4 separate regions of the Mus musculus genome follow, and all the other regions are reported to be linked to region 4. The links are microRNA targets in miRTarBase. Many come from high-throughput screens and were not tested one by one. Region 4 holds a microRNA gene; each other region holds the end of a gene's coding sequence.
The links. The annotated mature microRNA mmu-miR-503-5p reads UAGCAGCGGGAACAGUACUGCAG and lies in region 4 at 3,646-3,668, opposite strand. An mRNA with a match to its seed (bases 2 to 7 or 8) in the 3' UTR can be bound and repressed. Matches are read on the target gene's strand: a 7mer-m8 pairs with bases 2 to 8, a 7mer-A1 pairs with bases 2 to 7 and ends in A, and an 8mer does both.

Region 1 (7,121 bases), not on the chromosome of region 4:
GTTGTATAGTGAATTTGACTATGACTTATGCAATGAATTTGTTGATGTGACCTGCTCGCCAAAGCCAGATGCATTTAATCCATGTGAAGACATCATGGGGTACAACATCCTCAGAGTCTTGATATGGTTTATCAGCATCCTGGCCATCACTGGGAACACCACAGTGCTGGTGGTCCTGACCACAAGCCAATACAAACTCACTGTGCCCCGGTTCCTTATGTGTAACCTCGCCTTTGCTGATCTTTGCATTGGGATCTACTTGCTACTTATAGCCTCAGTTGATATCCATACTAAGAGCCAGTACCACAATTACGCCATTGACTGGCAAACAGGAGCAGGCTGCGATGCCGCTGGCTTTTTCACTGTCTTTGCCAGTGAACTGTCAGTCTACACATTGGCAGCCATAACCCTAGAAAGATGGCATACCATCACACATGCCATGCAACTGGAATGCAAGGTACAGCTCTGCCATGCTGCCAGCATCATGGTGCTGGGCTGGGCCTTTGCCTTTGCGGCTGCTCTCTTCCCCATCTTTGGCATCAGTAGCTACATGAAAGTGAGCATCTGCCTGCCCATGGATATCGACAGCCCTTTGTCGCAGCTGTATGTTATGGCCCTCCTCGTACTCAACGCCCTGGCCTTTGTGGTCATCTGTGGTTGCTACACCCACATCTACCTCACAGTGAGGAATCCTAACATTGTGTCCTCGTCAAGAGACACCAAGATTGCCAAGCGCATGGCCACACTCATCTTCACGGACTTTCTCTGCATGGCCCCAATTTTATTCTTTGCCATTTCCGCCTCCCTCAAGGTGCCCCTCATCACTGTGTCCAAGGCCAAGATCCTCCTAGTTCTGTTCTACCCCATCAATTCTTGTGCCAATCCTTTCCTCTATGCCATTTTCACCAAGAACTTCCGCAGGGACTTCTTCGTCCTGATGAGCAAGTTTGGCTGTTATGAGGTGCAAGCCCAGATTTACAAGACAGAAACCTCATCTATTACCCACAACTTCCACTCCAGAAAGAATCCCTGTTCCTCGGCTCCCAGAGTCACCAATAGTTACGTGCTTGTCCCTCTAAATCATTCAGTCCAGAACTAAAAATCAATGTGAAAATGGATCCTCACCTTGAAAGACAAGTGTGACTTCTTTCTGGAGAGAGGGCTATGGAAGAGCTGGCAGTGTTGCTACATATTTCATCTAATTTAATCTTTCTAGGTATGTGCATGGCAGATAGGTCAGGGACCATTAATATCTCATGTGACTCATCTAAGAACTGAATTATTGGTAACCGCAATTAAAATAGTGCAACACTGCTGCATGCTTGTTTTATGTTTCTGTTTTGATTATCTCAACAGAGTTGGTAAAAAAAAAAATCATGTTCAGTAGGCTAGACAGGAATTTTTCTTGGAGTTTTACAAATGAGGAAATTAAGACCCAAAGATCTCAGTGATTTCTTTGACATTGCTCGCTAGATAGAGGCAGAGCCAGGATGAAGTATCCTGACTTTTCAAAATTTTCCATGAGAAATTCTACACCACTCATGCACATGTTTACCGGATGCCAGTGATGGTTTTGAAATGGGTCACCATGTATAGGCTCAACCACATTGCCCAGAATCCTCTTTCAGTTAGGGTGGACCACCGGAAGAACATTAACAGCCGTGCTGTGGATCAACACTGCTGCTGAAGCTGACTCAGCTCAAGGCAGCCCTCTCCCTCTGGCTGGATCCTCCCTCAGGCCACCTGAGGGGTTTCATAGCATGACTAGGAAGCACAAAACTTCTACAGGATGTTTCACCACCAAGGTCAGCGCAAGGACAGAACTGGGGCTCATCACTTGGTCTCCCTGGGGTTGCATTCTGTGTTTGCTGAGTGCATGCTTGTGATCTTTCCTTTATAAGGACATATGCCCTGAGGACACTGACAACATCCTTACACATATTGCTTAGCCAGCCTCTCAAATGTGGGAGAGACAATTCCCAGTAACAAATATTTACCACCTATACATATTTGCATTCATACATATGTATGATTGCTTCTGCTGTTCTGGCTGAACTCTAATGGAAAATACACCTATTATATGGTATGCATATAGATTACAATGTTAAGAATGCAGCAGCTTTGAAGTCAGTGTTAAGATTTTTGTTCAGATTCTGTAATACACCAGGTTCAAGCTCTTCCAGCTCACCTCTTCCTCTACAGATGTACCCACTGAGTCTCTACCTTTTAGGCTCCCAGTGATAAGGAAACAACCAATTACCAAGTGTTTTATGCTGCTGCAAATTTAATATTAATTTATCTCTTTCCTCTCAGCCCAATTCGTAGGCTAGGCACCATTTCTCCTGGCCCTTGGTCTAGAATTCATTGTTACCATCAAAAGTCTTGATGGGGTTTGTTTTCTTTTTCCACTGGAAGAATTAAATGGCAGGAGAAATCCTAAGCACTGCAGGTTGCAGCAGAGGAAGTCCTGGACACAGAAGATGGGATCGGCCAGTGAAGAAAGGCTTTTATTAGGGGTGGGGAAACACATACACAACAAATACACAGAGAAAAGGTCCCTCTGTAGAGGAGAGAGGACACTAAGGAGCCTATGGTCTAGTCTCTCAAAAAGGCCAACACGTGTCCCGTTCCAGTGTTGAACTTGTAAGACTATTCCAGAGTCTGAGGAGCCTTTAGTCAGGGGGAAAATTCCACAAAGCCTGTCCCACCTTAGCTGCCATCTTTCACTATCATTTGTAACCCCTCTTCCTATCTGTCTGCCTATCAGGGGATTTATCTAGCTGCTACTCCTTCAAGTCCATTATAGTACTTCAATACTTAGAAATGAGCATGCTACCCGCACCTGTTCACAGAAATAACCCTATCTGAATAGCTACATCATATGGAACCACCCCATAAGTTCCTCCAAGCACTGTTGTGGCCAGTCCATACAGCTTTGTGCACCAGGGGTATCTGGGGGAAGGTATGACCTCTAAGCTATAAAATCTGTGCTGTCTTTGTGAGGCCACGGCTTGGACCTGGTTCCTTGGGTGTTTTCTTGTGCCAGGAAGTAAAGGGCTGGTTGTCCCCCACCCCCAAGTCATGTCTTCTATCCCATCCCTCTTTCCCCTCCCTCTCCTGTTTCCTCCCTTCCCCTTTCCTCTCCTTTCCTCTCCTCTCCCCAACTTTCCCTTCTGTGGATTCTCCCATCAGCAATATGATTTTCCTCTTAAGGACAGTTGAAGATGGTCCCTTAGGATTTCCCATCCATTAAGTTAATGGCGTGAAATGCTCCTGCCTCTCCTTCCCTCCTGGGCTCCACCCCTGCACAAGGAAATTGTTGTTTCTCTCCTCAATTCTTTTTCAATTAGGTTCTGTTTTGCCTCCTCCCTAAACCTCTGAGCCAGAAGTGAGGGGACTTGAACTCCCAGACTTGAGTGTCCAGTCTCCCCATGCTGAGTTTTTAATCTCTTGTGCTGTGCTCATGGCACCTGGGCTGGGGAGGACTTTGTCCTGTCTAGGAGTTTATAAATATCTTTCTCAAGTTCAAGCCTCCAGCTTGTGGATCAAACGTGTGTCTTTGATTTGTTAAGCATGTCTCGGGGTATGAGGGAGTGCTATAATCGACACAACTTTTATTGTCTTTTTTTTCCCACCGGCGTCGTATGTAACTTTTAGTAGCCAAATCCCAGACCTATACTTTGGGGTGTTTTGGTTTTTTCCTTGCTAAAACATCATTCTCTTCCACCTAAAGCCACTATAACATTTGGAAAAGGAATAAATGTTGTGCCTTAAAAGAAAACAAATATTTGCCAAAGAGCAAGAAGAAGGGGGGATTGTCTTCTGTCCTGCAGAAGATTCTCAGAGCTTTGTGAACTGACCATGGTACAGCGTTAAAAGAAATTTAGGGACTTGTCGAAAGAGAATTTCGTCTTCTAAGGGATCTCCTTGGAGGAACCTTTCCCATTGCCCTCCACTCCCTGGATAGGGCAGTGCTGACTGTATGGCCCCAGCTGCCTGTTGATGAGTGGTGTCCCTATGAGTTGGCCTTCTCAAGAGTATGAAAGCAGCTTTTCCTAGAATCCTTGGAGGAAAATAGTTCGGTAGGATGGCCCAACAGGTTGAGGGATGGGGCTGCAGCCCAGAAAGTGAGTTGCACCCCTGCTCCACAGTTGCTCCCCATGCCTGCAGGCAAGAGTGCCCTGGTGAACATTATAAAGGTTATTCCTAATGCATTAACAAGGGCATTCGTTCTATTTCATCTAGACAAAAATTACAACTACCTCTGTCCATCTGACAGAGCACTTTTTCAATATATTTAAGTTGAAAATGAAAAATTAAACAGTATTCCTTGTAAATATTTTAGATTGTGAAGAGAGAAGAGGATGGAGAGAGACAGACAGACAGGCAAAAAGAGGGGGCAAGAGAAGAGGGCAAAGAAAAAGGCAGGCAGGAGGGAGGAAGTTGGGCATTCCACATTAGGAAATAGAGTCTAGACCACTGAGATGATTCAGAAAGACAAAGCATTTTCTAAGTTCTCCAGTTTTCCTCTCACCTCCATGTCTGAGATATAACTACACTAATATATTCTCACTTTTTGCTGTTATATTAAACACCACACACATACATACAACTATCACCATCATCATCACTATCACCATCCACATAATAACATTTAGAAATCAAATGCAGCTTTCTCTGAGTCTTCCAACAACATACGGGTGTTCTAGAATGTTACTGTCTAGTACAGTAGCCATGAGCTGCATGTCACTACACAACACTTAAAATGTGGCTAGCCTGGATTAAGATGAGTGGACTGCATAAAACGCACACTGGATTAGAAGGGCATAAAAACAACAAAGGAAAACAAATAGCTTAGCAATTCTTATATTGTTTACATGTGCTTAAACATATTGGAACAAACAACACAATTAATACGAATTTCAGCTGCCTTTACATTTTTATTGCAGCTTCTATAAAATTTACAATTGCACATAGAGTTTGTTCTCAAAATCTGTGGGAGAGCTGATCTAAAACCCTAAGAAAGCATAACGCTTTCCCTTCTCACTCTCCCCACCGCTCTCCCACTCCAAACCCTCCACCACGCCCACCCTGCCCACCGGTTGGCTAGACTGCTGGGTTGTCCCAGCACCACTGACAATCATTCTTCCTTGTTTGTGGCCAGAGGCAGTGAATTTCTGAATTTAGAATCAAAAGAGGAAGCTAAATCATAAATATGATGGGAAAATAATCATCTCACAACATAGCTGCTAATGGCATGCTGCTTTAACAGACTAGCTCTGACAGCAAAGAAGATGATCAGAGACGAATACACCATTCGAGGAGTTCAGACAATGCTCTGCCTGTCACTGTCATTGCAACACTTCCTGTCAAGACAGGGGACAGTTCTGAAACAGGCAAACATATTTTGGGGTAACTAAGTCAGTGCAAGTCCTTAGGGACAGAGACACCGCCTTCACTTTCTGCACTTTAATAGAAACTATTAGAATCTGCTCAGCATCCCTCATCTGCCGAGGGTAATGGTCCAGGCAGCCCTTCTGAAGCCATGCTCCTGGGGCGGCGGTTCATTTCCAGGAACATGCTGTAACAAGCACACACAATCAAAAGAAACGTCGAACAGCGCGGAGACCTTAGCCCATGGACACTGGATTCAGTCCAGCTCTCCATCACATATCATGGCAGAGTCTGCTTACTCTACCGAGTTACTCAGAAAAGCATAACTTCTACTTTTTGTCCTTTTAAAATAGAGCTGAAGAGTTCTAATGTGAGAGTCACAATGTGCTTGAATAGTGAATCTGCGGGTCTGCTTTCAATAGAGCACCAAGAAAGGGGGGGAGGGGGAGTTGGAAAGGAGGAGGAATTTCAATTAAAAGAACTACAAGTTTCTTTAACTTCATTTTTAAGGCTTTATGTTATTAATCTCTTACATATTACGTCCTGACTGCAGTTTCCCCTCCCCCTTCCCCCACTGGTCCCACTCTGCACTACCCCACCCCTGTCCCGTCCCTTTCTCCTCCTTTCCCTTCAGAAAAGGGCAGGCCTCCCAGGGATATCAACCAAACATGGCATATCAAGTTAAAATAAGACTAGGTTCCTCCCATCATATTAATGCTGGACAAGACCCAGAGATACCACTTGTGGGCATACACCAAGGGATGCTCCTTGCTATCACAGCAACACTTCCTCAACTATGTGCCTAGCTGCTGTATTCATAATAACCAGGAACTGGGAAAAAGCAACATGTACCTCAACCGAAGAATGGATAAAGAACATGTGGTATCTTTACACAATGGAGTATTACTCAGCTGTTAAAACAAATAGCATCATGAGATTTTTCCGGCAAATGGATGGCACTAGAAAATATCCTGAGTGAGATACCCCAGAGCCAGCCAGAAAGACACACATGTTGTCCACTCACTGATGAGTGGACACAGGCTGCACAGTAAAGGATGACCATGCGACAACCCACACACAGAGAGGCTAAGAGATGAGGAAATCTTAAGGAGAGACCCATGAATCTCCCTGGGAAGGGGAAACTAGGGCAGGTGGAAATGGGAACTGGAGGGATCAGGTTAAGGTTTATTTTTATTCTCAAACACCATGAAGAGGACTGGTTGCCCCCAGACAATTCCTTTATTTTTTAGTATGCAAATTTGTTTTATTGTGTAATAGTAAAATTATATGTATACTAGAGAATTCTTTTTTTTTAATATTTATTTATTTATTTATTTATTTATTTATTTATTCTTACACTCCAGATTTTATTCCCCTTCTGGTCTACCCTCTGACTGTTCCACATCCCATACCTCTTCCCCACCCTCCTATCTCCAAGAGGATGTCCCCACCCTACCCCCACCCCTCACCCCACCAGACCTCTAAACTCCCTGGGGCCTCCAATCTCTTGAGGGTTAGGTGCATTTTCTGTGATTGAACCCAGACCCGGAAGTCGTCTACTGTATATGTGTTGGGGGCCTCATAACAGCTGGTATATGCTGCCTGGTTGGTGGTCCAGTTTTTGAGAGTTCTCGGGGATCCAGGGTAATTGAGACTGCTGGTCCTCCTACAGGGTCACCCTCCTCCTCAGCTTCTTCCAGCTTTCCCATAATTCAATCACAGGGGTC
Region 2 (7,121 bases), not on the chromosome of region 4:
AGGGTATCACAGCCCTTGGAACAGGAGTTTATGGGTGATTATGAACCACCATGTGGGTGCTGGAACTGAACCTGGTTCAGTTTTCTAGAGGAACATCCCGTGCTCTTTAGCACTGAGGCCTGAATTTCTCCCTTTTTCTATAATAAAGTAAAAGAAACTAAGGCATCACTTTAGCATCATCTAGATTCAGCTGTAGATCTCTACTTTAGATAGAAATCAAATAAGGTTTAGTTTTCTTGCTACCTTTATTCTATCAAATAGCCTCAAGCATTGAATGTTATTCTAAATAAAACTCAATGATTAAAGAATCAGCATTCTTTTATATGCGGCTGGTGTATAGGAGAGATTTTTTTTTGCTTCCATTGTTTCAGAACAATATTATTAAGATGGAATTTTCCAAGTAGCTCCTTATGTTTCCTCTTTTTCTATTTGTGTGTAGCATGGGGACCCAATGCTGATATGGTACTCTAATTAATGATTCTAGGCAGGCAACCCAGATGATCCCTTGTCGGTCAATTGGTCAACAAATTTTTTTGTAATTCTAATCATAAATACATATTAGACAAGGCAGACAGACAGACATGATCCTTATTAGTTTTCACAGTAATTAGAAATTTCCAGTGAACCTGATGTAATGTTATAGTACTGTAGCCCTAGCACTCTGAGGTAGAGGAAAGAGGATCAGAACATTGGGGCAAGCCCAGGCCACAGAGATCCCCTCTCTTTCTCACGCACACAAGAAGCTTGACACTAACAGTCTGGACATACATAGCTTTTGTCTTCATTTCATCTATTATATGATGTCACACAAAAACAAACTTTGCCTTAGTAACTTGCAAAGCACCAGGAAAGCTGAAATTATTCTACAGGGTTTCTAATAACATGGTGATTTGCACTGCCTTACCTCAGCTTATTGACATGTAAAATAAAACTAGGGGCTATCTGTGGCCGGTCTGTGTCATAGGAGAGGCACAGTAGCTTCGTTAGCCACAGTTGTTGGTCTCAGGCAGGAAGGAGCATGGCTGAATGCCAAAGCTAGAATATTCTGACTGGTCAGTGTTTTCAGAGAAAAATCAAAGAAAGATGGTTGCATGATTCTGGCTAATCATCTGATCATTTTCATAGGTTCCCTACAGGTACTTTCAGCCTTTTGGCTTTGGGCCCCGCGGCTGTGCTGGGAAGTACATCGCCATGGTGATGATGAAAGTTGTCTTGGTTACACTTTTGAGACGATTCCAGGTGAAGACACTGCAAAAAAGGTGTATTGAAAACATACCGAAAAAGAATGACCTGTCCTTGCACCCAAATGAGGACAGGCACCTTGTGGAAATAATTTTCTCTCCAAGGAATTCAGACAAGTACCTCCAACAGTGAAGAAGTGTGGCCTATCTACTCTGGGGCATTACTTATCCGTAATTACATGGAAACCATCCATTTTATCGAGTAGGTGGCGTGAACCTCACCATGAACATTTGATGGTCTGTAGAATTTTATGATCATAGCTCCTATGGTTTGTCATCAAGCTGGGCATCCATCCAGGGAGCCAGGATGCAAAAGAAAGGAGTCTGTGTTGGGGACCAGTGAAGAAACTGAAGCCTTAAAGGACCAATCCTACAATATATACCTTGGGAAAGACAGACCATCAGTAAAACACGTCTGGTCTCCTGCTAGAGTTCTACAGCTGTTGTCAGCACATCGAAATGACTCTGGCAGAAGTACTTAAGTTATTAGAAAGGCCAGGTCAACATCCCAGCATGTGGGCCAGGCATAAATGAACAACAGGACTTTCATATGTGTGTGTGTGTGTGTGTGTGTGTGTGTGCGCGCGCGCGTGCGCGCCCACAAGCATGTGCCATGTACGTATGCAAGTCTGTGTGTGTACTTGTGCATGCATGAATACATAGTGTGTGTGTGTGTGTGTGTGTGTGTGTGTGTGTGTGGTAGACTCTTTCTACATTAAACCCAGTTGCTTACGGTGGATCCACATGTAAACTGTTTGGGGGCAAAAGTGAAATATAGGGTGTCGTTTCTTACTCTCAATTTGTGCTCCCAGGAGTGTAGTTAGACTGTAGTAGGTATAGATTCAGGTAAAACATGCCTAAGTAGTATTAGCCTGAGTAAAATATAGCTAGGACTCTATGTGTGGTGTAGGGGGAAAAATCACATGGTGCATTTCAAATAAAGAAGTCTTTTTAAAAAAAAACTTTGCATTGTTGCTTAGTTCCTTTAGTTCCATGGAAGGAAATGCAGCAGGCCAGGGGGCCCCAACTTCTAAAGAACCATCTCTTCCTTTGACACACCTTCTCATTCCTCTCTCCCTCTCTCTCTCTCTCTCCCTCTCTCTCTCTCTCTCTCTCTCTTGTCATGACCCCATTCTTTCAAAAAATAAGGGTCAAACCTTCACAAATCATTTTTTTCATCCTACCTCAGATTTAAGTGTTACCCCAGAGGCTTACACACATGACATGTTTCCATCGAGTGGACAGCCATCATGTCCCATGCGAACATTCTTTTTGTTTAGCAACAAGGCAACACTTGAGTGTAAAACATGTGTAGGTGTTTTGTTATTTTATCTTTTCTCCATTCCCAATCTAACTTTCCTTATCCACTGTAGTCTCCCCTCCCCCAGCCTGAAACCTGCTTGCTCAGGGGTGGAGCTTTCTGCTCATTTGTTCTGCCACGCCCACTGCTGGAACCTGCGGAGCCACACACGTGCACCTTTCTACTGGACCAGAGATTATTCGGCGGGAATCGGGTCCCCTCCCCCTTCCTTCATAACTAGTGTCGCAACAATAAAATTTGAGCCTTGATCAGAATAACTGTCTTGGCTACATTCCTTTCTCTCGCCACCTAGCCCCTCTTCTCTTCCAGGTTTCCAAAATGCCTTTCCAGGCTAGAACCCAGGTTGTGGTCTGCTGGCCGGACACAACAATCCACTGTCAAGATCAGCTTGGCATAGGCACACTTGCTCATGGATAGCCTAAAAATTCAAGTATGAACATTGTCAGGAAGGACATATTTGGGCTTGAATTTATATGATTTAAAGGGAGCTAATATATAATTATCCACCCAAATCTGTCTGTTTCCAGGTCTAGATAACCATCCAGATTTGGCTCCAATGATCAAGGTGAAGGTTAGCATATTATGATAATCCACTCGCTAATCCTCAGTGCACTACTTTATCTTTCCCTGTGGAGCTGCATGACTGAGGAGAGCTCTTATCAGTGTTCTTCACTCACCGATTCTCCTGAAGTGTCTACTTTTATTTCACATGTAAATATGCACTGAAGGCATATATTTTATGCTGAAGTAGAAGTTGGAAGAGTTGTATCTAGATGATATGGACACAAAAATATGTTGAGGAAAAAAACAAACAGAAGTTGGAGGCAGAAACACGGAGAGGACAGAAAGAGAAGAGAAGATTGAGGGAGCATCTCCCATTATCAAATATTTGGTTAACTGTTGAACCTAGCATCTTCAGACAAACACCATATGTTCCCATGACTGAGGAATCTGTCTGTTGGCTTTCCAGTAGGCTGATGGACACATGTTTGAAAACCCTAAGTGCTCATTAATTAACAAAGGTGCCACAGATTCTATTTTTGTCAGCTTCCAAAAAGGTAGATTGTGTGTTGCCAGTAAAATACATGCACGTAAGCTTTACCACAATCAAGTCGTGAGAACGATTACCCCTCTCCTCTCAACTGTGTTGATCACCTTCCCCAGGCTTTAATGGGGATGCTGTTTCTCTTTCCAACTGGAAAATAGTGAGGTTCAGAACTCTTCTCATATTGGGAAATGACCATTGGAACTTGCCATTTTGTATTTCTAAGTATCACGTTTCACTATGTGAGTATGTGGTGTTGACCATCTCCAAATAATACTACCTGGACTCTCTTTTGTATCTTGTATCAGTTCTGGGGCTGACCTCTGACTTAGATTTTCAGAAAGATTTGCTAAACTGAACTTGGTAATGAATTGGAATACATGATATTTTCAGTTAGGTACTCAACTTAATTTAGGAAGTTATTATCTCCATTTTATTATTTTATGAAGCATCCCTTCACATCCCCATTTGTTTGTTTGCTACCCACTGGCCAGTGTTTCCCTCTTTTATGCACATATAACCCATCACATGTGGGTAACCTTCAGATTGTTAGTAAAACCTAGGTTTTTAAACTGAACCTGTCACTTGAAGAAGTGATCCAGTTGGGACTGGAACCCATGACTTCTGAACTTTATTCCAATTCATTAAAAAATGACCTTTAAGCCAGGTAGTGGTGGCACACACCTTTAATCCCAGCACTTGGGAGGCAGAGGCAGGAGGATTTCTGAGTTCGAGGCCAGCCTGATGTATAGAGTGAGTTCCAGGACAGCCAGGGCTATACAGAGAAACCCTGTCTCGAAAAACCAAAACCAAAACCAAAACCAAAACCAAAACCAAAACCAAAACCAAAACCAAAACCAAAACCAGCCAAAACACAAACACAAAAATCAAGAAATAACAACAAACAAAAACAAAGAACCCAAACAAACACACACAAATGGCCTTTATCTCCCCCATCTTCTATCGTGATTCTGCAGAGCATAACATTTTCAGGACAGTGGTCAGTCTCCCAGAGCCTATTCTAAGGCATTATTATTTGTCAGAGCAGAGGTTCCAACTTGGAGTGTAGGCAATACGCCACTCCCTAAAAAAACACAAAGGGCAGGGTAGCTCTGTCAGCTCTCCCAGCCTCACCTTCCTCTGAGGATGTGCTTCCAAGCTTGGAGAACAGCAGTTCTCAAATCAGTCAGCAGGGGCAGACACAGCACAGGTTTGTGAGCTTTGAAGTTTGGCAGCTTCCAACAGAGGGAGTATAGCCTTCCCAAGCTTCTGGCAGCCTCTCACTATGTAGTGTGCCAGACGGTATGGTTGGTACTATTGTCTGGTAGTCCGAAATACCCTTCAATATCCATTTATTTTGGATTCCCAAGAGGCTGACTCCAGCCGTTCACCCGAGTTTAGCTCAGAAGCAGTCCAGTGAGGACTGTGACACAGAAAGTTACTCTCCGTGGTTTGCTTTCTACATCTGAACATAGCTGAAACATAGTGTCCACCTGCTGGAGCTGTGACACACTGGAAACTACCTGCTGGCTAGTGACTATTCAAAACATATGATCCAGGGATAATAGTAACTTATTAATTTAGCCTTAAAAATATTTATAGGCCATTGCTATGCTGAGTGTTTAGGAGACATAACAATGAGTAAAATATTCTCTCAAGCTGATTGTAAATATTTTGAAAATTTGCTTTATTGTCTTAAGAACAGCAACACTGTAATCTATAGTTTCTTTTATTGCCTTTGTTACAAGCTCAGCACCAAACTAAGGCCAGTGCTTCCTGATGTTTTGGTTTCTGCAGTTGTCCAACTTACATCTTCTTTCTAGTTGGCTCTCACATTTTAATTTACACCCCATACTTTACCCGGTCAGTGCGTAAACCTTTGACTTGGTCTGTTTCATGTCCAGATCTGTGCTTTACCCTTCTTGGTGGACAGTCAAAGCCAGGCACTCTGGAAATGGGAGGGCTGCCAATCTGGAAAAGGGGATTTCAGTTAAGGAAATGACAAAGGGTACTGGGGTCAGGGAGAAGGGAACAGAAGGACCAATGATGAGAGCATCTCAGAAAAGGACAGACTGAATCCACAGCTCAGGACAAACTGTGAAAAGAAAGATCTAGACAAAATCTAGCTGTGTGAGCAGGGAGAAAAGGGAAGAGGGTGTGAACAAGAAGAGAAGCACCTGCTAGAAGAGAAACTGCTTTTATGCATTTAAGGAGAAGAACAAGGAGAGAAGGGAGCTATATACTGAGGCATTTCAGTCAGAAGAGACATAGACAGCACCACCTGCACACTACAAAGCAAGTTACAAGGTTGTGCCCAACCCCCCCCCCCAACCTTGAGCAGGCTGGCTCAGACTGTGTTTGTTACAGTTGCTAGCTCACCTAGGGTGGAGTCTTCTGACCTAAGTAAAGTATATTGTCCTGCCACATCTGCTGCCTCTGCCAAGTTGCCACTACCTTCCGGGGATGGGAGCCCCCCTTTTATAAGTTCAGACTCATAAGTAAACTTTGGGCCTTGATCAAAGAACTTTGTCTTGGCTCATTATTTCTCTCGTCGCCTTTCCCATCCAACCCCAGCTTTCCTTTCAGGAACCCAGTAACCCATGGCCACTAGCTGCTATACAAGGTGAGCTGCAGAGCTACCCTGAGTTCCCCTGAGACTGTGAGTCTGCCTTGGGAAGCTGATTCTGCTCACTGGGGCCTCAATGTGGATATAGAAAGCTGGTCACATGTAAACATTAGAGCTATAACAGGTCAGCTTTGGGCTTTGCTCAGCACATATTAAAGGAATAACATTGGTATGGAATACATGACCCTAACAAAAACAAAACAAAAACCCAAAAAACCCTTAAGCAGATTCTACAAAATATATGGGTCCCTGTGAGCTGAAATATCTATATCTATATCTATATCTATATCTATATCTATATCTATATCTATATCTATATCTATATCTATATCTATATCTATATCTATCTATATCTATATTGTAATCACAAAGTAGAACCTTCTCAAATGTTTGTCTACTATATGAAAGATAAATCATGTCTTTATAAATCAATGGGAACAAACAAATCGACTGCATTCAACAATGTGGATAAATCTCACCAACAGAACACAGGCTGAAAGAATACACAGGCAGGCAGGCAGGCAGGCAGGCAGGCAGGCAGGCAGGCTAATGGATGGACATATACACTGTAGACTATGATTCTGCCACACCCACTCCAGTGAAGTCTGCCTGACAAGTCCAAAAGCTTGGCTGCAGTCTTGAGGCAAAAAGTTTCACAGAAATTTGTCTCCTGGAGTCTTTGGCGTCCTGTAACACAGATGTGTTTCAGATTTGTCCCTGAGAGTTTTGCATGCTTTCCTTCAGTATTATTTTGTTATAGGTATCCCCAAGGAATGATTTGACAAATAGCTAGTTAGATTAAACTTTGCTTCCTGGCCTCCACCAGTATCCTAGGCAGTCTTTGAGCCAACCCTGGGCTTGGAATTTCATAAGAATGTTACTCATTCA
Region 3 (7,121 bases), not on the chromosome of region 4:
CCTCAGGATTTCCGAATACCCAGTGTTCTCTAGTTACTCAACTCTCACTTATAATTATTTATTTATTGTAATTCGGATCCAAAGATCATTTACTGTAATTAGGGTCCAAAGATCATGCAGTATTTGATTCATATAAGAAGACTTATACGTATCTTTTATCCTACACATTCCTTTTATCTCTGTAATTAACATTTCAAAGAGGATAGTGTGTGGTGTGTGGTGTGTGTGTGTGTGTACCCACAGAAGCAGGAGAGCGCATCATATCCTAGAGCTGCAGTTACAGGTGGTTGTGAGCCTCCTGACATGAATGCTGGGAACTCAACTCTGGACCTCTCAGAAAGCATATCATCTCAGGCACTGGGCCATCTCTGCAGCTTCGATCTATACCAGACGTTTTAAATCATTATCTTTGTGTCATTTTTCCTTGTACTTTGCTGATTACATCCCTGAAACTGACAGGCGCTTTTTGCTTTATTCTTCCTATAAACCGGTCCTCAACTTGGGGATTTGTCAGATCATGGTTCGATTTCTTTGCCAAGATCGGTCCTAATGCATCTCATTATGGGGCTTATGGCAACCTCTGAGCTGTGTCTGGAACGCTGTGGAGCAACCACTTCCTCCAGATTGAAACACTTCCTTCTGCAGGAAGCTACTCAATCAAGGTAAACACCTCATGACAGCTTCAGGTAGTCCCTGAAACTGAGCAGATTCACTGGGCTCCTTCCTGCCAGAGTAAGCAATAAAAGCTGAGCATTCCTCTTAAACGCAAGGATGCTGAGCTGCAAGGAAGACTCTCTGAAACCAGCCGAGCCTCCTGGTAGAGATTTAGTTCAGCTGTGCCTCCCTACCCCCTTTCTGAACCCCAAGGGCATGGTTTTCCTGTGTAGCCCTGGAAGAACTCCCTTTGTAGACCAGTCTGGACTTTAACTCAAGAGGTCTTCCCACCTCTGCTTCCCCAGTGCTGGGGCTAAAGGCATATGCAGCCACTAACCTGGCTAACTTGTAAAGGCTGTTCTCTAATCTGGTGAGCTGCCTGCAGGCTGTGTGTGCCCTGTGCTCCAGGTTCCCAGCTTTGTGGGCTGTCGTCCATCCACACTCAAGTGTGCTTTGGTGATGCAGCAGTCTTCGAGTCATTTCTGCTCCCATAAGTAGCCTCTCACCCGTATTCCCATCACCAGTTAGACTCTGATGGTGCCTGTACGTTGGTCTGTTATGCGTTCCCTATCTGGGGTCAGGAGATGTGCTGCGTCCTCCCTGGAAGTTCTGTCACACAACAGATGCTAAGACTGATGTATATATTCGGGTATCACCAGACAAATGCATCCATCCTTCATGAGAGGTAACAACTCACCTCGTGATTCAGTAGCAACAGTGACACCTACGTTTGAGTTAAGGCTGGCTCTGACACAAATATCTCACTTTAGATAAGACAAAGCCACGTGACACAGGAAAGGCACCCAGTGTGTGAGTCATTTGCTTACCACAAGCTTTTGTTAGTGAAGCTGTTAGCAGTCTTTACTGGGATAGACTTTTCCCAAAGAAAAAAGATCATCCTTAGTTTCAGGTCTAGCCTGCAAGCAACCTTGACACGTCCGTTTGCAAATTGGATAGTACTGATAACGCACATCAAAGGGTTAAGGAAAATGTAAATGAGATGTTTGACACACCTACAATGTTATTACTCAGTTTAGCACTGAGTCATGGATTCAGCACTTTTTACCGTTCCGTGGACTGAGCACCCGTCTCCACTACCACACATCATAGGTCCTTACGCTTATTTACTATAAGCAGATATATATGCTTATATATATGGTCCCGGGAGTGATGTAGCAGCCACCCTAGTTTAGGATAAGATGGTTCTCATCACTCCCAACTAACGGGAAACAGCACATTCTAAAATAATGCAGTTCATAGACATGAGTTTCTTATGGAAGCATGCCCAAGTTTATACAGTGCTGGGCCACAAAGATGCAAACGACATTTTAACTTATAAACTCTTGTCTGAAACATCACGTCACTGCAGGACTCGGGAACCAGAGGCAGGAAGACCACAAGCTTGAACTCAAGACTACTGACTACAGTCAGATCCTGACTACAAAACAGGGGGGAAAAGTTAAATATAGCCGGGCAGCGGTGGCGCGCGACTTTAATCCCAGCACTTGAGAGGCAGAGGCAGGAGGATCTCTGAGTTTGGGGCCATCTTGGTCTACAGAGTGAGTTCCAGGACAGCCAGGGCTGCACAGAGAAACCCTGTCTCAAAAAAAAATCAGTTCTCCCCAGTTACATTTTTATTTCATGTGTGTGTATGTGTGTGACAGAGAGAGAGAGAGAGAGAGGGAGAGGGAGAGAGAGAGACAGAGAGAGAGAGGGAGGAACAGAGACAGAGAGATACTCTGGGGAATCACTACTTTGATAGCTTTTTAAGTCATGAAAGGAAATGCAGAGAAATCATATGTACATTCACTAGAGGTAGATCCCAGGACTCTGAATTTTTTTCCAGAAGAAAACAAAAACCAAAAAACTTTCAACATAAGAATTTATTGTATAATAATTTTTCTCATTTACTATTTTTACATTTTATGCACAAATATTTATCTGAGTAAAAATAGAAAATAACTGTTTTATGTAAAATTACAAAAAAACAAAGAAATACATAATTGTTATTATGATAGTATAAGTGTCTTTATTTAAAGAGTAAAAATGTATGCAAAAATTCTCCTCCCTTCTACAAAAGACTCAAGAGTATTTTTTCTTGGGAGTAAGTGAAATATTGAATATCAACATTTTTTTTATAGCCTTTAGATCTGAAGACATTAAGTCAGTCACAGGTTTGTTTTGCAATTATAAATTTTAAAACATTTTTGTGCTATTTCAAGGATACACTAGTTCTTTATAAAAGGCAGTAGCATAAATGGCAAATGCAGAAAATGACAGAACTTGCCAAAAATACTTGGAGGTACACTCTTTAAAAGAAATAACCATACTCCAGCATTACTGTTTATCTGGGGAGAAAAACTGAATAATTTTTCCTACTTTATTTACATGGATCAACACTAAAATGAATGCAGTTGGCTAACTCATCATGAGGAGCTCAGTCACAGCCAGCACTTCTGCCTAACTGGCTGCACCTTCCAATGCCAGCACCAACGCTCAGACCTCAGGCTAGCTCAGACCTCAGGCTAGCACAGACCTCAGGCTAGCTCAGACTTCAGGCTAGCACAGACTACAGGCTAGCTCAGACCTCAGGCTAGCTCAGACTTCAGGCTAGCACAGACTACAGGCTAGCTCAGACCTCAGGCTAGCTCAGACCTCAGGCTAACTCAGACCTCAGGCTAGCACAGACCTCAGGCTAGCTCAGACTTCAGGCTAGCACAGATATAAAATGACGTCAATGTAAACATCACATGGAAAACTCGCTTTTCTAGCAACAGGAACATTTCATTATTCTTCAACTTATAAGGTACAAAAGATGGTCAGACCGTTTTCTGTTCTTTTTGTTCAACTGTATCTTAGGCTCTATGAAAAATGCACGACAAAACTGAGCAAGGATTACCATGAATTAACATTCTTTTATAACATGAGTTATTTTAATAGATGATAGCAAACTGGGGCCTCAATAAGAACAACACATCTTTGAACTCTCAGTGGAGCCAGAGTGAGAAAGCTTGGGTCTCCTTCCGTGTGGGGGGAGCATGGAGGATGCAGGAGGGGTAGAGAACAACCACCTAAGATCTGAGAACTGTGCTCAAATCACAACTAACCCACCAGCTTCCAAAGGAAGCAAAGCTATACAACACGTTTTGTGTGTTTTGTTTTGTTTTGTTAAGGATTTGGAAATGTTTGATTGTAGGGACCTAGAACAAATATAAATGTTCCTTTCCTTAAAACACATTCCTCCGAATGATACACAAAGTCTGTCCTCTTGGCTAAAGCTTTAACATAATGTCTCCAACACACTGTAAGTCTGAGCTTCTCAAGCTCTGATGTACTGCGGCAATGCCCTGTTCTCAAGCAGTGACTTACGGCTCCCAGGCCTATTTGCTGTCGAAAGTCAGGGCCTAAAGATTATTCTTATACTCTACTCTTTCAATTCATGGTGACCAAACTGTACTAATAATTTGCCTGCCTACTGTTGTTTATAAAAACAAAGAGCAAATATAAAAAAATAGGATTTTACTCTTTTTAACTATTTACTGTATAATCTTAAAGGACTTAATATAAAGAAACTAGCAACCCTTGTTGAAGTCTGACAGCCCAGCACTGGAAGTCATGATATAGGAGGTAAGAAACCCTCTGTCTTCTCCCTAACACTCGGTCCTGGCTGCATCATCAGGCTGCACTTTCTCTCCTCAAACTCTTCTAAAGCCAATTTGGGAAATGAACTGAAAGAAAAACAAATGAGAGAGGTGTATATAAAGTAGCCTTTATCCTGTTCTGAGGAATTCCTTTCTGTTATGAAAACTATATGCTAATCTCTCATATCATGATTTATGGATAATACTTTAAAATAAATGAAGAAAAAAATTTTTTAGGCATTTCTTCTTAGTGTTAGCAAGCAGTAAGGCATTTCATATAAGATTTATTTAAAAATGTTAGAAATATTAATCTCCCCTTGAATATCTGTCTTCATATATGCAGAAATGGTTAGCTAGTCATGTGTACAGTATTTTTTAAGAGTCATATATGCAATATTCAAAAGAAAAAAAATGAAACAAGTGGGAAACTTTATTTAAAGAAGATCGCCTACAGAGCCCAGTCAAACCCTTTCATAACTACTCACAAGGAACTTACGTCAAACGTTAAACATGTCGCCTGATCTAAAGTCTTCATTTTATCAGAAACACAGAAGGGAATATATAAACGGTCTTGCATAATAATCTGGTACTACAGATTAATTTTTAAAAAAATAGGAAGTCAAAACTAAACCAATTTTTTCTTTCTGAGGTATACTTTTTAAAATCTGAGAGAAAGAATGATATCATTTTGGAATTTTTGCAATAGCTGGTTTATTAGAATTAAATGCCTCTCTCAAAATAATTTAAGACCTTGGCTTGACATAATGAATAATCTATACAGAAAACCATTAATAGTGGTTTGAGTTAAGCCAGCTTTAAATCTGGGTCTCATTCAACACTTTCTTCTGCCAGTTAACTTCCTCTCTTCTTGTAAATTATAAATTAATAACCTGATAGTTTAGTAATTACCAATGTAATTGTATTTGATAGGACTGCTTAGCTCTGCTTGATTAGATGAAACAGGCACACATGCTTTAGCTGAGAATGTCCTTTTTCAGGCTCTGTGTAAAGCAGCGGAGAGGAAACAGCTCCACGCCCGCAGTGGCTACACCAGGCTGTTTCCTGGAAATGCTTCCCTCCTTTCATCTTCAGACGCTACTGGCTATTTTTTGGTAGGGCTAGACATTAATACTGACCAGTTTAGCTTTCCTGACTGTTAGCAAACTACCCCGATGAACCTGCTCTCACATTGCAGGCATCGTGGTGATCCTTTAACATATTCTAAAATATATGTTCAACGTAAAAAGATCCAAATTCACAAGAGTATGAAATATTTATAAAAAAAATCATGCATCAGATTGTACACTCTAGAAATACGATTCAAATTCAGTAATAAAGGTTAGAGCAAAGCTTGCTCTAAATATTTAAGAAAAACCTTAAGACTCCCCAGGAGGTCCTAGGTCTCAAATCTCTTTGTCTGCCTGTAGAGAGGTGGCTGCCAGTGCTACTGCCGTGACTGGCTGGGCAATCCCATGCAGCTGCATCCGTGCCAGTTTCTTCTGTTCACACTCTATGACCAGACGGTTCAGTTCTGCTGCACTGTATCCAATAAGAGTCTTCAAGTCACAAACAAATTTGTACACAAATCTCTTGCCTTGAACTTTACAAATCATGTCCCCATCATAATAATACCTTTAAAAAGAGAAACCACATCAGGACCTCGTAAAGATGAACAGTTTGTACTCCCTACTTTTTAGACTTTTCTGCAAACAGAAACCTAGCAGAGTTCTGAATCCACTACAACAGTTAACATTGACGTCACAGTATTTCACATTACAAATCAAACTCTAGAACATTACTCACCAAAACTTCAGTCCTCACTACTCCAGAATCTTATATATGAAACTTTCAAAATACATTTTTAACAACTCTGATAACATTGCTTTAGAAACCAACAGAATTACTAAAGAGAAGACAAAACAAAAGAGCCTTGGAAAGTCAGAGATACACCGCAAGGCCTCACTTGCTGCCTCTGTGACCACAGGACCATCCTAGTTCCTTTAATCCTTTATTCCTCATCTAGAAAATGAGGTTAAAACAGTACTTACCCTCATAGAACTGTTGAATAGAGGGATAATCTTTATAAAGTGCTTAGCTTACAATGACTGCCACAGTTAACTCTCTATAAAATATAAGCTATGTTAACAGGAATCCAGATAACAAAAAGTTACAGATGGTTGGTTGTGAAGTCCACTTTTGTTTTATATAAAATCTAATATGATATATTTAATACAATAAAGAAATATCTTCATCTTCCATTTATTATATAAAGGCTTGCCACATTTTGGAGAAATTCTCCAAACCACGAGGGATCCCAAAAGAATAACTCTAAGGTCAGAAGAAACAGGCTCCAGGAAAAGAGGCGAAGGGCAGGCATCATGAAGCAGCACCACTGTCTAGCCCGCACTGCAGAGCGGCCTCGGAGGCTACGCTAGACTACTTTACTACACTCTCTATGGAGGCAGAAGCAGCCGAGTTTATAGCTACTTTGTACATCAGACTTCACATCAACAGAAAATTTGAATTGACTAACCACTAAACTACTTGTCATGCAGTTTAAAAATATAAGTTTATGATAAATAGACATTTGGGAAAAGGAAAAAAAGTGGTTTCATATTTCTAGAATGCAATTAGGACTGGTGTAATCGTCATTTCTTGGTAAAAGAAAAAAGGGTGCATGCACGCGCGCACACAAATACACACACACACACACACACACACACACACACACACACACACACTCACTCCCTCCCTTCACCAGGTCTAATACTTCCTTTCTTCAGTCTGGAGCACACATCACATGATACCATACAGAAGCAGGAGCCG
Region 4 (7,121 bases):
AACATTCTGCCTTCACTCTGCAGAGTGGAGGTGGGGGAGGGGTAGCAAAAGACCCGAAGGAAGGAGTCAGGCTGCAAAGCAAGCAGTATTCCCAGCCCCCAACAATGCCCCCGACTTGGAGCTGGGGAGGGGAGCGGGAGGGGGGGAGTGCGGCGGAGGGGGCGGGAGGGGGGCACGCTTTTCAATTTTCACCACTTGCTCCGAAGACAGAGCTCAAGAGTAAAGGGGAGTGCTCCAAGGCTGAGGGACCACAGGAAATGGAAATCGTTAGAGGCTCCTCCCACAAGGCTCTAAGCCCCTTTAAACTTGAGGAGGATATCAATTGTGGACCCAGTGCAGGAAACAGATGAGTGAAATATTAGGACAGAGCCAGGAGATCCTAGCTCAATGGATGGGCATAAGGCAGGCTGAACTGGGCCTCGGAGATACAGATTTGCTATGATTGGTGTATACATACTGTGTTTCGTTTTAAGAGGCATACAATAACTCTACATAAAGATGAACGTATAAGTTTCTGGCATCATGAGAAATGCTTCTGGACAACGGGAAAATAGATCTCTAGAAATTAATGTTAACTTGGTAATGCCCACAGCTCAAGTCTTTTGATCTCTATCAATATATATTCATTGATCTTCCTGAAGCATACTTTTTGAACCTATTTGTATTTTTTTTTTAATCTGCACCGTCTCTCAGGAAATCTGCCTATTAATTAATTTATGTCGTGTAGATTCATCATGTTTCCCTTGCTGTTCCCTCCTCCTCAATGGATTGACAGGTATGGTGCTTTAGAATAATCAGTAAAATAATGGGCATTGCAGAGTCCTTCTTGGGTGTTTGTTTAATTGGACAGTTGCCCATGTTACTGGACATCAAAAGCAACACAGAATTATTTGGTCTCCCAGCACTGGAGTGTATCCAAATGTTTTCCTGTTTAGGATTCAACTTTTCTCCTTGTCTGCGTGCATGCATAAATGCTTTACACAATTACATTTGCTGACTTTTTCTGTGGCCCTGGTTATTGGCATCTAGTTTTTCCAAGTAACATTGACACACATCTGTTCAAATCAATTGACGCTTCTATCAGGACTGACTCATTTGGTGGAAAAAACAAGTTTACATGCCAACTGGAACAAAGGAGCCTAGATTTGGGGGAATAGCAGGAAAAATGAAAACGGTGGGGCCGGATTATTTGACTTACAGATCATAAAACACTTTCCAATAACATTTTAAAAAGGTATACAATATTACACTAGTGACTGGTTATATACTGTACCCCCCTAGTTGGGTGGTTTTCAATATCTAGTGTGGTAAAACGCATATAAATTACAGTTTTTGAAAGATGATTGTACTTTCTTGGAACAGGAGTCTTCTGTGTCCACATCCCCAAGATTGTTGATGTAGTGTTCCCTTGTTGGAAAACCAAACCAAACCAAACCAATATGGCTAGCAGAAGATGCCTTCAGAAGTATTCCTGTTATTAAAATTGTTACAAAATTATGTTCAATTCTAGTGTATCACAATAACCTGAATATCTTGTCCTACAACTTACAGAAATGTCAGAGTTTAGATTTAGAGCCAGGCTAAGCTTTTCATAGTTTTAAGAGCCATGTCTGTCTAGTAACCTTTTACAATGCCACGTGCACACAGCTTCCTCACTAACAAATAACATGTGTTGGGGGAAAAAAAACGGAGAAAACAATGGAGAGGTGCCTCTTTGAATGTGGTAATGGAGGATCAATTAATCAGCCGACCATAAATTGAATCACTTTATACAAGTCTCCCACACATTATCATGCACATTTAGCAATGTTTGAAAAACAATTTAAAAGAATACCTTAGGGAGTTGTTAAAGGGAATTTATAATCTGGAACGAATTGCCATCTTCTTAATTGACATAGAAGTGTTTGGCTAAAATATTGCTTTATTCACATTTTGCCCTTGGAAGAAAATCGAAGCACATCATAACTTCGACTAGGCAAATAAAGGTGCGAAGAGCATTTCAAATCAAAAAAGGGCACCACGCAGCCAGGTGCTATGTGGATGAGCTCAATTTTGGCGCCCTTGGGCACCTTGGGCTAATGGCATCTTAGATTCTTAGTCAGTGGCCTTAAACCTGGATCATTTGCTCCTCTGCTCTAAAGTCCCCAACCCACCTGAATCTCACTTGAATCTTGCAGGCACCCACTGGAAGCAGCCAGATGGCGCAGGCCAGATTCTTCTGGGTGAGTGGGGGCCTTCAGTGAGCCCCGGCGCTCTTCCTCTGGCATAAGGCAAAGCCCTGTTGAACAGTGGAGATGGAGAAGGGAAGTTGGTGAGGGAGAATAGGAAGTCTCAAAGTGCCCCTCCTCCAACCCTGCGCATAGGAACGCGGGGCGCCTGAACCTGTTAGCCATTTGTCTTGGGGATTCCGGGCCAGAGGGGCCCTGCCAAGGGGAGGGGTGAGGCAGGAGCTGGGGGGCGTGGCTTCAAGAAGCCAAGGAGATGGGGGCAAGGCGTGGCTTAAGTTCCAAGGGGTTTCAGTGCTCCTGGGAGCCAGGGGGTCCTTGGGGGCCCAACGGGACCCAAACCACCTCCCACACCTTGTTCAAACGCAAAGGAGTCTGGGAGAAAGGCATTTGGTGGCTAGAGCTAGACTCCCAGGCTCACAAGGCCTCCTCTAACTGTACCTTTTATGGGGGCCTGCACCCAGTCCCTGGGGAAGATGACAAGCAGTTCATACAGACCAGAAGGGTGTGTGTACATGTATTTTATTTCTTTTTAATAAGACAAAGCAGCACGATTTCACCCACACTCCGTTTTCCAACAGTCCTTTACATGCCTATACTCCAGATTATGGAAAGTGATTTTCACAGGAAAAGTACAGTCTTGCTCCAGAAGTTTAACACTCTTCTCCAGTTCCCAGGCGCCTCTTGACCTGTTTTTTTTTTTCACTCCAGGCTCAAAGGGCTCCTCAGGGAAACGGAGGTGCCATGATTAATCACAGCAGAGTTTGGGATGTCACAAAGCAGCCATTTTCTCAGAGACTTCTAGGCAGTGACAAGGGTGTCCCCATGTCCCCACTGCCATGTAGAATTGTGTGATGACTTTGGGAAAGGGGGATAAATGGGGACTAGAAATGCAGAGCCTCACTGAGGCTTCCTGTTGGGCCATTGCCTCTCATTGTACCACCTGGGGGTCCGCACCAGCAAGACACGAAGAGATCCAGGGACACTCCCACGGACCCCTTAATCTTTCCTAAACTGCAAAGAGAAATGGGGACTTTCTCAAGTCATCCTTCCTGCCCTTCAGAACCCTTCTTATTCCTTTTGGAAGGACCCCTTCTCCATTTTGTTGTTGAGGACTTAGGACAAATTTTCTTGTTTCGCTCTTGTGGGTGGTATACTACTTGATGACCAGGAAGTGCTTTTTTTTTTTCCCAGTTGATTCACTTTTACCTGAGCAGCAAGTGAGGCGCTAACAACACACTTTCAGTCACACCCAGTCAGAGTCACAGATCAGCAACTCTAGTTGGGAGCTGTTCTAGAGTCTCCCTCCCATGGGGCCTATGCTGCAGGCTAACCGAAACTTACCTGGTGGGTGTGCCCATGTGGAAGACCCAGACTTACCCAGGCAGTGGAAACAATACTCCAGGGCACCAAACACTCACTGCAGTACTGTTCCCGCTGCTAGGGCACGACTGAGTGGGATGGGCTGAGTACAGGATGCCTTGTCCCTTCTTCAAGTGAATTGCCACCTTGCTATTCACACCCACCCAGGCCCTTGGACTGTGTAGAGTGACCCTCACTAGACTAAGCCCCTGCCCTCCCACCTACCTGCTTTAGGGCTTTTAGTAGAACCCACACAGGTCTGTTCAGCAGGTCCCCACCTTCTACATTCCCCACGAAGGGGTGTTGCAGCGCTTCATGTTTTGAACCTTGGCAATACTCCAAAACATGAATTGCTGCTGCAGCCCTTCGGAGTCAACGAGGGTGGGGGCCGCTCTGGGGTACCTGCGAAGGAAGAAAGTCTCTGTGATTTCCAGGATCTGCTGGTGAGGCAAAGGGTGTACTGTTGGAAAGCAGGGTGTGGTGGATAGTGGGGAGGAGGAGACTCTTACCTCAGAAAGTAGATGAAAAGTGGGATTAAATAAACTGAGACAATTTGGTAACATCTGGATCACTCTTGCCAGCTCCAAAGTCTTGGTGAAACTTCCTGCTACCTTGTATAAGTCTCATTTATTGTCCCCGGGTTTTGATCATTTATTGGAAATTGGTGCAAGGAACTTTTGATAATCAAAAAAAAATCCCTCTGGGTAGTCCCAGTTGGTTTTACTGAATACTATAGGCATGGAATAGACTTGTCTAGTAGTTTCCTCCGTTCTTACAGTAATCACCTCGTCATTAGTTATTTTTAAGGACAAAGCATGAGAATGTTCTAGATGAAACATACATTCCTGGATGTTCTCATACATTGCTGGCTACTCAAGCTTATTTATAAAGACATTTGTTACCATCGACATCAAATCACAAATCAAGAACTTTAAATAAATGACATCCTTAAATACTTGATGTTAAATACAAATCACTCCTTCTTAAGCCACGCCACTGAAAATCTTGTCTTGAAATGGCCGGCACTGTGCGCTCTCCTCAGCTCCCACTGTTGCTTTTCAAAATGGACACACATGAGCAACAAGTTACATTCATTTCCTTGTTTAAACAAAGCATTCAGGAAAGCACAAAAACCATCCTTTAGTCCTTAACCACAAACCTAATAACTAAAACAACAAAACTACAGTGCCTTTGAAAGCAAAAAACATTCTGTATACAAATTTCCTGTATTCTCATTTAAAATTATGTCCGTTTTTCGAAACTAGTACAATGAATGCTGGGTCCTTTTAATTAATTAATAAAATATACAGAGTATGTAATTAAACTAAATACAAAATTCCTAACATAACAGATAATGATCCAGTGCTAACATATGCATTGCTTAGGTCATGATAAATAAAGCCATTAATAATAACAGCCCCACTCCTTAAGTTGGAATGAAAATTCCGTCTTTTCTTGGCTATATTACAAGTCATTTTTACATGGACACGGAATTGTGGAGGAAAAAACCATCGATGGTCACCTTTAAAAAGAGGAGAGAGAAAAGCCGTGTTTAGTAAAGATACAATTATACTTTAAAGATACGTATTTTTCTCCCAATTTAACTTTATGTCCCACACAAATGTCACATCAGAGATTGCAATTCCTCTTAATTTAACATTTCCTTAGTTGACTACTCATAAAAACAAAATTCATTCGAGATAACATCATCAAAAACGAAGGTCTTACTAGATAATTTTGTTAACGAATACACTGGAATCAAATTCATCTCTAGATTATCCTTCATCCATTTCTTTTCTTCCCATCACTCTACAACGACTTATATCCTTAAAAAGCCATCTCACTCCCTGGGTTTGTGTATTTCCCCTTGGGCTTAACTTTACTTACGAAAAGAGAGCACAAAGAGATGTCTGGTCACTTCTAGAGAGGGTCATTCGCTGATACAATAGACAAAGAATCAATACTTTAGGGTTACCATGGCCCCACCCACTTCAGAACCACGACGGGTCAAAATGGCCCCACCCACTTCAGAACTGCGAAGGGTTTGGCCAAATGATTTAAGAGCCAAAGACTAAGCCTCTTCCTCTCTTCCCAGTTGAGAACGTTTTGTCTTTTAATGTTGCAGATGCCATGCGCCCCCACACCCAAAACATGATGCACAGGTCCTCCGCACCTTCCAGCCAAACTTTTCCAATACTGGAAAAAAAAAAAAAACAACTAAACAACCTTGAAAAGTTTTAATTAGCGAGAGACAATGGAAAACGAATTTTACGGTTCTTTCCAGGACATTCTTTACTGCTTACAAATGAGTGGCCCAAAGTCCCATTTACAGTCTGTCAAAACTAGTTGCTCCCCACCCTGGCAAGGCTGACAGCCTGAGGCTGCCCGCCCCTCACTCATTTCTCTCTCCCCACCCCTCCCCGTTTACTCTTCTCAGTCCACTTTCTGAGAAGTTCCCTGGCCACACTCACTTGCTAGACATTTTAAAGATCTGTCCTCCCCCCACCACGACCCCCGGACACGCTTTCCACCCCCACACCCCACCCAGCGCGACGCATAACATTTTTTTGAGAATTATCCCCGTATCTGTTACAGTCTGTAGTGACCAGAGACATAGTTGGGGGCGGGGGGAGGCGGGCCAAAAAGTTCCCTTCCCCCTCGTTTTTTTCTTTTTTAGATTCTAAGTCACCTCTCACTCCACTCGAAAATGGCGCCGAAATCGTAGAACTTCTTAAATTTCATTGTAAGCTTTTTGCAAAGGTTTCTGGGATTTTCCTGCGAAGCTGCTCCTCAGCGTCGACCTAGAAAACAAGCCGGGGAAGCTAGAGAGAGGAAGGAAAAGGCGGGCGGGGAGGCGGACAGACAGACGGACAGCGAGAGAGAAAGGGCGGAGGGGTGTGGCGAGGTTGTGAGGTTAGAAGAGCGAGTCGCGGAGACTTGGGAGGGCGCGAGGTGGCGGTGGTGCGGGACATCGAGGGACAGAGGGACGGACAGCCGGGGAACCGGGGTTCGCGGGGCGAGGGGCTCACAGAGAGGCGTGGCGGAGAAGAACCGGAGCCGGGACGGAGCTGGGCTGGAACCGGGCTGGAATCGGGCTGGAACCGGGCTGGAATCGGGCTGGAATCCGGCTGGAATCGGGTTGGAGCGGTGCTGGAGCCGGCGGAGCTGGCGGAGTTGGGCTGGAGCCGAGCGCACCCCAAGAGGCGAGCGGGAGCAGCCAGCGCCCAGTGGTCCGCAGCAGCCCTAGAAAAAGCCGGCCCGGGGGGCGTGGCCATGCGCTGCTCCGCGCCCCGCCCAACCATTCGCCCGCTCGCTCGGAGGCCCCGGAGCGGAAGGGGGGAGGGGGGAGGCCGTGCGGACACGCAGAGCCACAGCCTTGGCCTGCAGCCAGGAAGGGCCGGGAAGGACACGGGGAGCCTGGAGTGGCCACGTACAGAGAGCCTCATAGCCGCGGGTGCAGGAGACAAAAACCAGGGAGAAAGGGGAAAGGGGAAAAGCGGGAAGGGAAGCAACCAAGCTCCAGCTCAAAGACCC

Region 1: the mRNA of Fshr is a reported target of mmu-miR-503-5p. The part of its 3' UTR that is shown has no 7-base or 8-base seed match.
Region 2: miRTarBase lists Cyp19a1 as a target of mmu-miR-503-5p. The part of its 3' UTR that is shown has no 7-base or 8-base seed match.
Region 3: the mRNA of Gabpa is a reported target of mmu-miR-503-5p. Seed matches in the 3' UTR shown: 7mer-m8 at 5,305-5,311.

The regions. Positions count from the first base shown.
Region 1 is chr17:88,979,148-88,986,268 of GRCm38, reverse strand. Fshr (follicle stimulating hormone receptor) reads left to right here. Exons shown (of 10, transcript NM_013523.3): 10 at 1-1,317. The coding sequence ends at 1,099. It also overlaps the pseudogene Marcksl1-ps2. Among named protein-coding and RNA genes, the nearest start is that of Lhcgr, 190 kb to the right of the region's middle.
Region 2 is chr9:54,161,010-54,168,130 of GRCm38, reverse strand. Cyp19a1 (cytochrome P450, family 19, subfamily a, polypeptide 1) reads left to right here. Exons shown (of 9, transcript NM_007810.4): 9 at 1,126-2,194. The coding sequence ends at 1,374. Among named protein-coding and RNA genes, the nearest start is that of Cyp19a1, 29 kb to the left of the region's middle.
Region 3 is chr16:84,859,181-84,866,301 of GRCm38, reverse strand. It overlaps Gabpa (GA repeat binding protein, alpha), which reads right to left. Exons shown (of 10, transcript NM_008065.2): 10 at 2,523-5,927. The coding sequence ends at 5,699. Among named protein-coding and RNA genes, the nearest start is that of Gabpa, 28 kb to the right of the region's middle.
Region 4 is chrX:53,050,382-53,057,502 of GRCm38, forward strand. It overlaps Mir503 (microRNA 503), which reads right to left and starts at 3,673; the gene lies at 3,603-3,673. C430049B03Rik (RIKEN cDNA C430049B03 gene) reads right to left here and starts at 6,809. Exons shown (of 4, transcript NR_038185.1): 1 at 6,617-6,809; 2 at 6,277-6,388; 3 at 5,761-5,783; 4 at 2,731-5,109. It overlaps Mir351 (microRNA 351), which reads right to left and starts at 2,972; the gene lies at 2,874-2,972. Mir322 (microRNA 322) reads right to left here and starts at 3,968; the gene lies at 3,874-3,968.